2 linked regions of the Danio rerio genome follow. The main gene of each other region encodes a partner of the protein of the gene in region 2 in a complex. Links are inferred from orthologs where the notes say so. Each region holds a gene or a part of one and is shown on either strand. Other genes may lie near its edges.

Region 1 (4,291 bases), on a different chromosome or scaffold from region 2:
GTGCATGCCAAAGCACAAACCAAGCATGAAGACAAAGGAATTTTCTGTAGACCTCAGAGAGAGGATTGTCTTGAGGCACAAGGCTGGGGAAGATTACAGAAAGATTTTTGCTGCCCTGAAAGTTCAAATGAGCACAGTGGCTTCCATCATCCATAAGTGGAGGATGTTTGGAACCACCAGGATGCTTCCTAGAGCTGGCCGGCCATCTAAGCTGAGTGATCGGGAAGAAGGGCCTTAGTCAGGGAGGTGATCAATACCTCGATGTTTACTCTGTGTGAGCTCCAGTGTTCTTCTGTGGAGAGAGGGGAAATTAACAGAAGGACAACCATCTGTATAGCAATCGACCAATCAGACCTGTATGGTAGAGTGGCCAGATGGAAGCCACTCTTTAGTAAACGGCGCATAGCAGCCCACCTGAAATTTGCCAAAAGGCATCTGAAACGAAATTCTCTGGTCTGATGAGACTAAAATTGAGCTCTTTGGAGTGAATGCCAAACGTTACGTTTGGAGAAAACCAGACACCGCTCATCACCAGGCTAATAGCATACCTACAGTAAAGCATGGTGGTGGCAGCATCATGCTGTGAGGATGCTTTTCAGTAGCAGGAACTGGAAGACTAGTCAGGATAGAGAGAAAGATGAATGCAGCAATGTACAGAGACATCCTAAATGAAAACCTGCTTCAGAGTGCTATTGACCTCAGACTGGAGCAACAGCTCATCTTCCAACAGGACAATGACCCAAAGTACACCACCAAAAAATCAATAGAGTGGCTTCACAAAACTCTGTGAATGTCCTTGAGTGGCCCAGCCAGAGTCCGGAACTAAATCTTATTGAACAGCTCTGGAAAGATCTGAGAATGGCTGCAAACCATCGCTTACCATAAAGCTTGAGAGGTTCTGGAAAGAGGAAAGGGCAAAAATTCCCAAAATAGGGTGTGCCAAGCCTGTGGCATCATATTCAGAAGACTTGAGGCTGTAATTGCTGCCAAAGGTGCATCAACAAAGTATTGTGCAAAGGCTGTGAATACTTATGTACATGTGATTTTTCAGCTTTTTCATTTTTTAAAAATTTTCAACAATTAATTTTTTTTTCACATTATCATTATTGGGTATTGTGTGGAATATTTTGAGGAAATAAATGAGTTTAATCTGTTTTGCTATAAGGCTGTAAAAAAATGTGGAAAAGGTGAAGCACTATGAATACTTTCTGGATGCACTGCATAATATATATATATATATATATATATATATATATATATATATATATATATATATATATATATATATATATATATATATATATTCCTTTAAATAGGCTAAAGATTTCTGGTGACTTATGAGTTGTAGTTTGCAACATTGTATGGAAGACTAATATACATGATGTACAGTACAAGAGAGGCAAATATAGAATGCTCTGGAGAGAGAGAGAGAGAGAGAGAGAGAGAGAGAGAGAGAGAGAGAGAGAGAGAGAGAGAGAGAGAGAGATCATTACAAAACGCGCATGCACAAGAAACAGACACATTGCATTTGTCCACCTGTATTACTATCTTGATTTACGAAACCCAGCGCGAGGGAATTAATCAACGGCTCCGTGCGAATGCAGTCAAACAGAAGGCGGTTTTCCTGTTCAACCGTGATACTCTCTTCTTCCTCGGCGGTCATGTGTGTTTCGCATCGCTGTTTCTTCCAGTAAGCACCAATGCATGCATGCACCCGCCTCCCCTGCGCTCTCAAATAGATGGTGCAAGTAAAGATGTCCAAATCTTCCGCAGACCCTCTGTCTGGGGTAGAAAGCGCTTCTCAGTCGCACTATTTCCAGGTAAGACTTTTGGGGGGGATTTGTATACGTTGTCGCAAATGGTTAATTTGCTGCTACTTGTTGTTGAGCAGTCGTGCATTTAAGCGCTTCATATATCCGCAGAGGGCTACAGCTACACAATCTGCCCGTGTATAACGCCTTTATCGCGCTTTTAATCAGACGCGCGCAGTTTTAATGAGGCGAGATGTTGATCAAATGTGTTGATGCTTCTCCATCCGCCAAACTCACATTTCTTGTTTTTTTCCCCTCCGCCCTGAGATTTCACACCGCAACCGAGGCCTCATCTTTCGGGCCAGGCATCAGTAGACACAGTGTTCATTAAACAGTTCAAACACAGTCAATTTCTACTGAGTTTTGATAAACGGGGTTACAATCTCGTTCAATACTCTTATGGTGGACCATTGTCGGTCAAGGTTCTCACCTGTAGCCAACATCCGTCCATTGGTCACCTGTTTCTGCTTGAAATTATAGATTAATCTAGTTGCTGTGTTTTTAACCTGTTAGCTGGTAGGTCTGCGTTAGCTATTATTTGGTTAAAATAGTATTATTTAGTTCATGAATCTTATACGGATAGACCACTTTGGACTGGCATCAACACTGTATCAACTGGTCATACTAGTTCAGGAGGTTTTTTGGGAATTTATATGGTCAGTTAGCATCAAAAGTTAATCATGTTCCTCGGCAGAGCTACCATCTTAACCTGATTTTACAATACGGTCTCAAGGCAGTTTGTTAATTTTGACTTATTTTTCTATTTTGGGGAACTGGTGGCTACATTTTAACCAAATTGCTGTTAGTCAAGATGGTTAGCTTTAGAATAGACAAATTTTCTGTAAACTGAATAGTTCTGAATGGTTCTAAAGAAAAGAAAAAAAAACATCGTATGACGAAGACAAAGTACAGTCAGAATCTAGACTAATTTTGCTGTAACTTACACAAAATAGTTTTTAATCATCCTAATGAAAAACATCAGCTGACTAAAACAAAGTACAGTCAGAATCACTCATTAAAAGTCACTAATTTAATTTCTGTATGGTAGACCCTTACTGGTCAAAACAAAAGTCTCACTTGTGGCCAACACCAGTCCATCGGGCATCTGCTACTGCTTGAAATGATAGATTAAGCTTGTTTCAGTGTTTTTGAACATGCGAGCTGGTTTCTGCACACCTAATTTGGCTATTATTTAGTTAAAAATACTTAATATCTGGTCCAAGCTTGTGTGTAGACCACTTGACTAGCACCAACACTACCAGCTGGTCATTCTGGGGTTCAGGTGGGTTTTTGAGAAACGGTATATGGTCAGCTAGCATGTAAACAAAGGTTAATCACAATTCTCAACAGAGCTACCATCTTAACCTGGTTTTACAATACGGTCTCAAGGCAGTTTGTTCATTTTGACTGATTTGTCCATTTTGGCGAACTGGTGGCTAAAGTTTTAACCAACTAGCAGTTAGTCAAGAGGGTTAGCCTTAGATTAGACCAATTTTGCTCTAACTGACACAAATAGTTCTGAATGGTCCTAAAGAAAAAAAAAATTACATGATGAAGACAAAGTATAGCCATCTAGGGATTAGTATTGTTAAATAAAGTTTAAAAATCACTCATTCAAATCCCTTATGGTAGAGTCCATTGGTCACCTGTTCTTGCTTGAAATGCTATAGATTAAGCATGTTGCATTGTTTCCGAATATGCTAGCTGGATTCTACACACCTAAATTGGCTATTATTTGGTTCAAAAGAGTAAATATCTCCTCCAAGCTTGTCTGTAGACCACTTTGGACTGGCATCAACAGTGAACCAGCTGGTCATATGGGGTTCAGGTCGGTTTTTAGGAAATGGTATAGGGTCAGCTGCATGTAAACAAACGTTGATCACGTTGCTCAACAGAGCTAAGCTGATTTTACAATACGATCTCAAGGCTGTTTGTCCATTTTGACTTATTTGTCTATTTTGGTGAACTGATGGCTACATTTTAACCAACTAGCAGTTAGTCAAGAGGGTTAGCCTTAAATTAGACCAAATTTCCTGTAACTGACACAAAATAGTCCTAAAGAAAAAAACATTAGATAACAAAGACAAAGTAGAGTTAGAATCTAGGGATTGGCATTGATGAACAAAGTTAAAAAGTCCCCCATTTAATTCCCTTATGGTTAACCCTTATTTATATATATATATATATAACCTGTCTCATTTGTAGCCAACATCGGTCACCTAGCTGTTGTTGCTTGAAATACTATAGATTAAGCTAATTCCAGTGTTTTTGAACATGCTACCTCATTTCTATACACCCAAATTGGCTATTATTTGGTTAAAAAGAGTAAATATCTGGTCCAAGCTTGTCTGTAGACCACTTTGGACTGGCATCAACACTGTACCAGCTGGTCATACTGGGGTTCAGGAGGATTTTTGAGAAATGGTACTGTACATGATCAGCTGTTTAGTTTGTAATTAATTGCCAACATACTGTAAATC
Region 2 (3,500 bases):
ATGTACATTTTTTTCATAAAAATTGCTTGACAGATTTTGACAACTAGTTCAACATTTTTATATGTAATAACTGAAGTAATAAATTAATATTAATAAAATATGAGGACTATTAGTTTTATATAGAATGACTGTTCAGCATTCACAAGTTTAGTTAACTTTGAGTAACATGACATAAGCAAATTATAATGTTATAAAACAGCAGAGAGTTGTATGAAAGCAATTGATGCATGCCCAAAAGCATTTGCAAATTGTTGGAAGGAATGAAAACCTGCTACTATGATGTGCACAAATGAGAAATACATTAACTGTTGTGCAAATGTAAATGCGCCAAAGCGACCGAGAAAAACTGTAATACCAGACGTAAACAAGGTCTTTGGGGCAGGTGGAGGCGGGGATAAATTTTCATAGAAGTGACACATGTTTATCTTTGCAGCGGTCTGGTGGCCTCTTCGGTAACCATGTAAACTACTACCATCAGAGTGATGGCCACGTCTCCTTCCCACAGTCCTTCACCACACAGCGGCCATTGCACATCAGTAAATCCGGGAGTCCCGGCGAGGCTGAATCTCCCTCTCATCAGAAGCTGGTGGACTCCACCTTCACTCCCAGCAGTTACTCTTCCTCAGGATCCAACGCCAACATCAACAACGCCAACAACACCGCCATCGGACACCGCTATCCCAAACCTACTGTCAGCACGGTGGACGGACAAACAGGGCCTCCTCTCACCACCATCCCACTGCCACGACCCACATGGTGCTTTCCTAACAAGAGGTATGATGACACATGCGTTCTGTGTTTGATTGCTGATGCACGGGTTATCGTAGATGTTCAGGTTTGTCAGATTCTAGTTCCTGATTATGGTTTGTCTCATTCCTGATTGTTTCTTGTGAACCAGGAGCTGTTTCTATGACACTTTCATGCGGTACGTTCTTCTCACAGAAACCAAGAGAGACCTCATGACTTTGTAGGGCTGTTCATGTATGCTCTGCCATACTGTGGTGGATCTGAATCTCAGTGTGTTGAAAGATCCACTCTGTACCTAACAATGACTGTCAGGATTTGTGAGCAGCTTTCCTGATTGGCTGATAACTGAATGAGCATGTCTTAGGCCAGCGGATTTCAACTGGTTTTGCAAAACATGAAGTTTGGTTCATGTTACTTGAAGATAAATGGATCTGACACAATGTTCTGAATGTTTTTACAAAGAACACAGTGATCTTGTTACAAACTTTAACTACTCTAAAATCCATTATAGGCTACAATAACCCATAATGAAATTCTAAATCTTATCCTTTATAATTAAATCATGTTACTTTTTATATGAGAGCTGCATGGACCACAAAGGTCGATTTTAAGACCTTTTATTGCTCATTCAATGTTGATTCGATTTTAATTTCTCTTAATGATTAAAGGCTATGCTTTAGAGTTTTTTTTTGTTTTTATAACTTATGATTAACATATGCTACTCCCTCACAATATGTTGGCCAAAATGGCTGGAGTCACTTTTGCTTGTTAATAGATATGATGAGACATGCACAGAATATAGCGTGTAGCTAATGGACACAATTTCCCATAAAATCTGTTCTTATTATACTTATTGTAGGCTAATGGTAGTGTTTGAAGGTTTTTAAATAACTGATTTGGAAGATGGATTAACAATTTAGTTGCTCGTTATTGCATTTTGGATATTTTGAGCATAAAATTACATAATAAAAGTCATTTAAGTTGAAGTTTAAAGTATCAAAACCACAAAATCTTTATTGAACTTAAATACATAAAAAAAGACTAAAACAAGTTTACTAAAACAAAAATATAAGCTGAAAATATAAAAAGAAAAAGGCTACACAGTATAGTAATATATTATATAAATACTAAAGTTACACTGATCACAGATATAGGAAATACTATAAGATTTGATTTGATAATGCTTTGATTTAAATTATTGAAATGGGTTAAGTCCTCATGCATTTACTTTGTAATAAAAATTGTACCATACAGCAGTTTTATAAATAGGCATGTGCTATATGGTTAGCTGCATTAGAAAGCATTTACATTTTCAATTATTTATTTTTCTTGCTATTAGACTTACCAGTTGAGAACCGCTCTGCTAGGCAATGTAGATGCGTGTATGTGTGCGTCTGTATGTGTGTGTGTGTGTGTGTGCGTGAATGAGTGTGTGTGTGAAGTTCATCATCATGGTCATTTCCAGGCTATTTTTAAGGGGCTCTTCATTTAGACCAAAATGCAAAGGAATCATTTTAACAAGTCATTTTTGCAAATCATTAAACAGCCGGTATTAAGTTGTTTTGTTAATCTGTTTTTTGTGTGTGTGTGTGTGTGTGTGTGCTGCCAACAGATGCAAAACAATCATACAAATTCTTTGCTTTTATGGAGGGTCTTTATGTAGTACCCCTTGAACTACTATAAAAATCATAAGGTTTCATGAAAAAAAAAAATTGTGCTTCTATAATGTGACACAATCATTCAAAACTTCGTCATAAGGTTTGTTAGACATCAGCGCTTCAGACAAAACAAACCTTACGCTGCTATAATTGATTGTTCACATTGTAAACAGCCTTATGAGAGCTTCAAGAGAATTGTTTTTAATTGTAGGTTAAGTGAGGTTTCTCACTTTCTAAAACAGTGTTGTTAAACATGTGCAGTTGTGCTTTTAGTTCATCTTAGTGTGTTTATGTGTGTTTTGTTTAGCTCTGATTCCAGTGACAGTCGTCTCCCTATAATACGGCGAGAGGAAGCATCTACAGATGAGACATATGATGAAACATTTTTAGATGAGAGAGATCAGGCCATGCTCTCCATGGACATGTAATACTTGACTTGTTTTATTAGATTCTTTGTACGAGTATTTTTATATATATATATATATATATATATATATATATATATATTCTCTGAATGTGTGTGTGGGGTACAGGCTGGAATTTCAGGATGAAGAAAGCAAGCAACTGGCTCCTATGGTGGAGGCAGAAGTAGGGGAGGAGAGAAGGCCGTGGCAGTCTCCACGGCGACGGGCCTTCCTCTGCCCTACTGCACTGGGTAAATGAGCAAATTTATTACTGTTAGGATGAATCTATACAATGAGTAGCTCCATGACCATGAAGTCACATGTACTTCCTTCCTAACACAGGTCGACGGTCTTCCTTTCACTTGGAGTGTCTGAGAAAGCATAACAGACCTGACGTTTCTCAGAAGACAGCACTACCATTGCACCTAGTGCATCATCAGGTAAGTTCATGCACATTTGCATAAACACTCATGAATGACAGGGTTATTTTCTGTCCTTTTCACTTTTTTCATCTTTTGGTTCTCAAAGGCTCTGGCCGTGGCAGGGTTAAGTCCCTTGCTGAGACGGAGTCACTCTCCGACACTGTTCACACGTCTGTGTTCCACACCTCCTGCGAGTCCCAGTGGCCGCAGCGGTGGAGGCCCATGCTATCAGCCTGTGCCCTCTCTGCGGCTGGAGGGCAGCGGATCTT

Evidence for each region. The genes of interacting proteins can lie anywhere in the genome.
Region 1: cacna1c (region 2) and cacnb3a share a complex: the UniProt entries of both Homo sapiens proteins name them as parts of the calcium channel complex. The link is inferred for Danio rerio from reciprocal best matches to the Homo sapiens genes CACNA1C and CACNB3.

What each region holds. Positions count from the first base shown.
Region 1 is NC_133198.1:15,636,228-15,640,518, forward strand, and holds the start of cacnb3a (voltage-dependent L-type calcium channel subunit beta-3a), read left to right. Parts: upstream 1-1,491; 5' UTR 1,492-1,739; coding exon 1,740-1,820; intron 1,821-4,291. UniProt on the Homo sapiens protein: Regulatory subunit of the voltage-gated calcium channel that gives rise to L-type calcium currents. Increases CACNA1B peak calcium current and shifts the voltage dependencies of channel activation and inactivation.
Region 2 is NC_133179.1:21,064,522-21,068,021, forward strand, and holds part of cacna1c (voltage-dependent L-type calcium channel subunit alpha-1C), read left to right. Parts: intron 1-433; coding exon 434-774; intron 775-898; coding exon 899-925; intron 926-2,712; coding exon 2,713-2,829; intron 2,830-2,938; coding exon 2,939-3,060; intron 3,061-3,151; coding exon 3,152-3,249; intron 3,250-3,337; coding exon 3,338-3,500. UniProt on the Homo sapiens protein: Pore-forming, alpha-1C subunit of the voltage-gated calcium channel that gives rise to L-type calcium currents. Mediates influx of calcium ions into the cytoplasm, and thereby triggers calcium release from the sarcoplasm.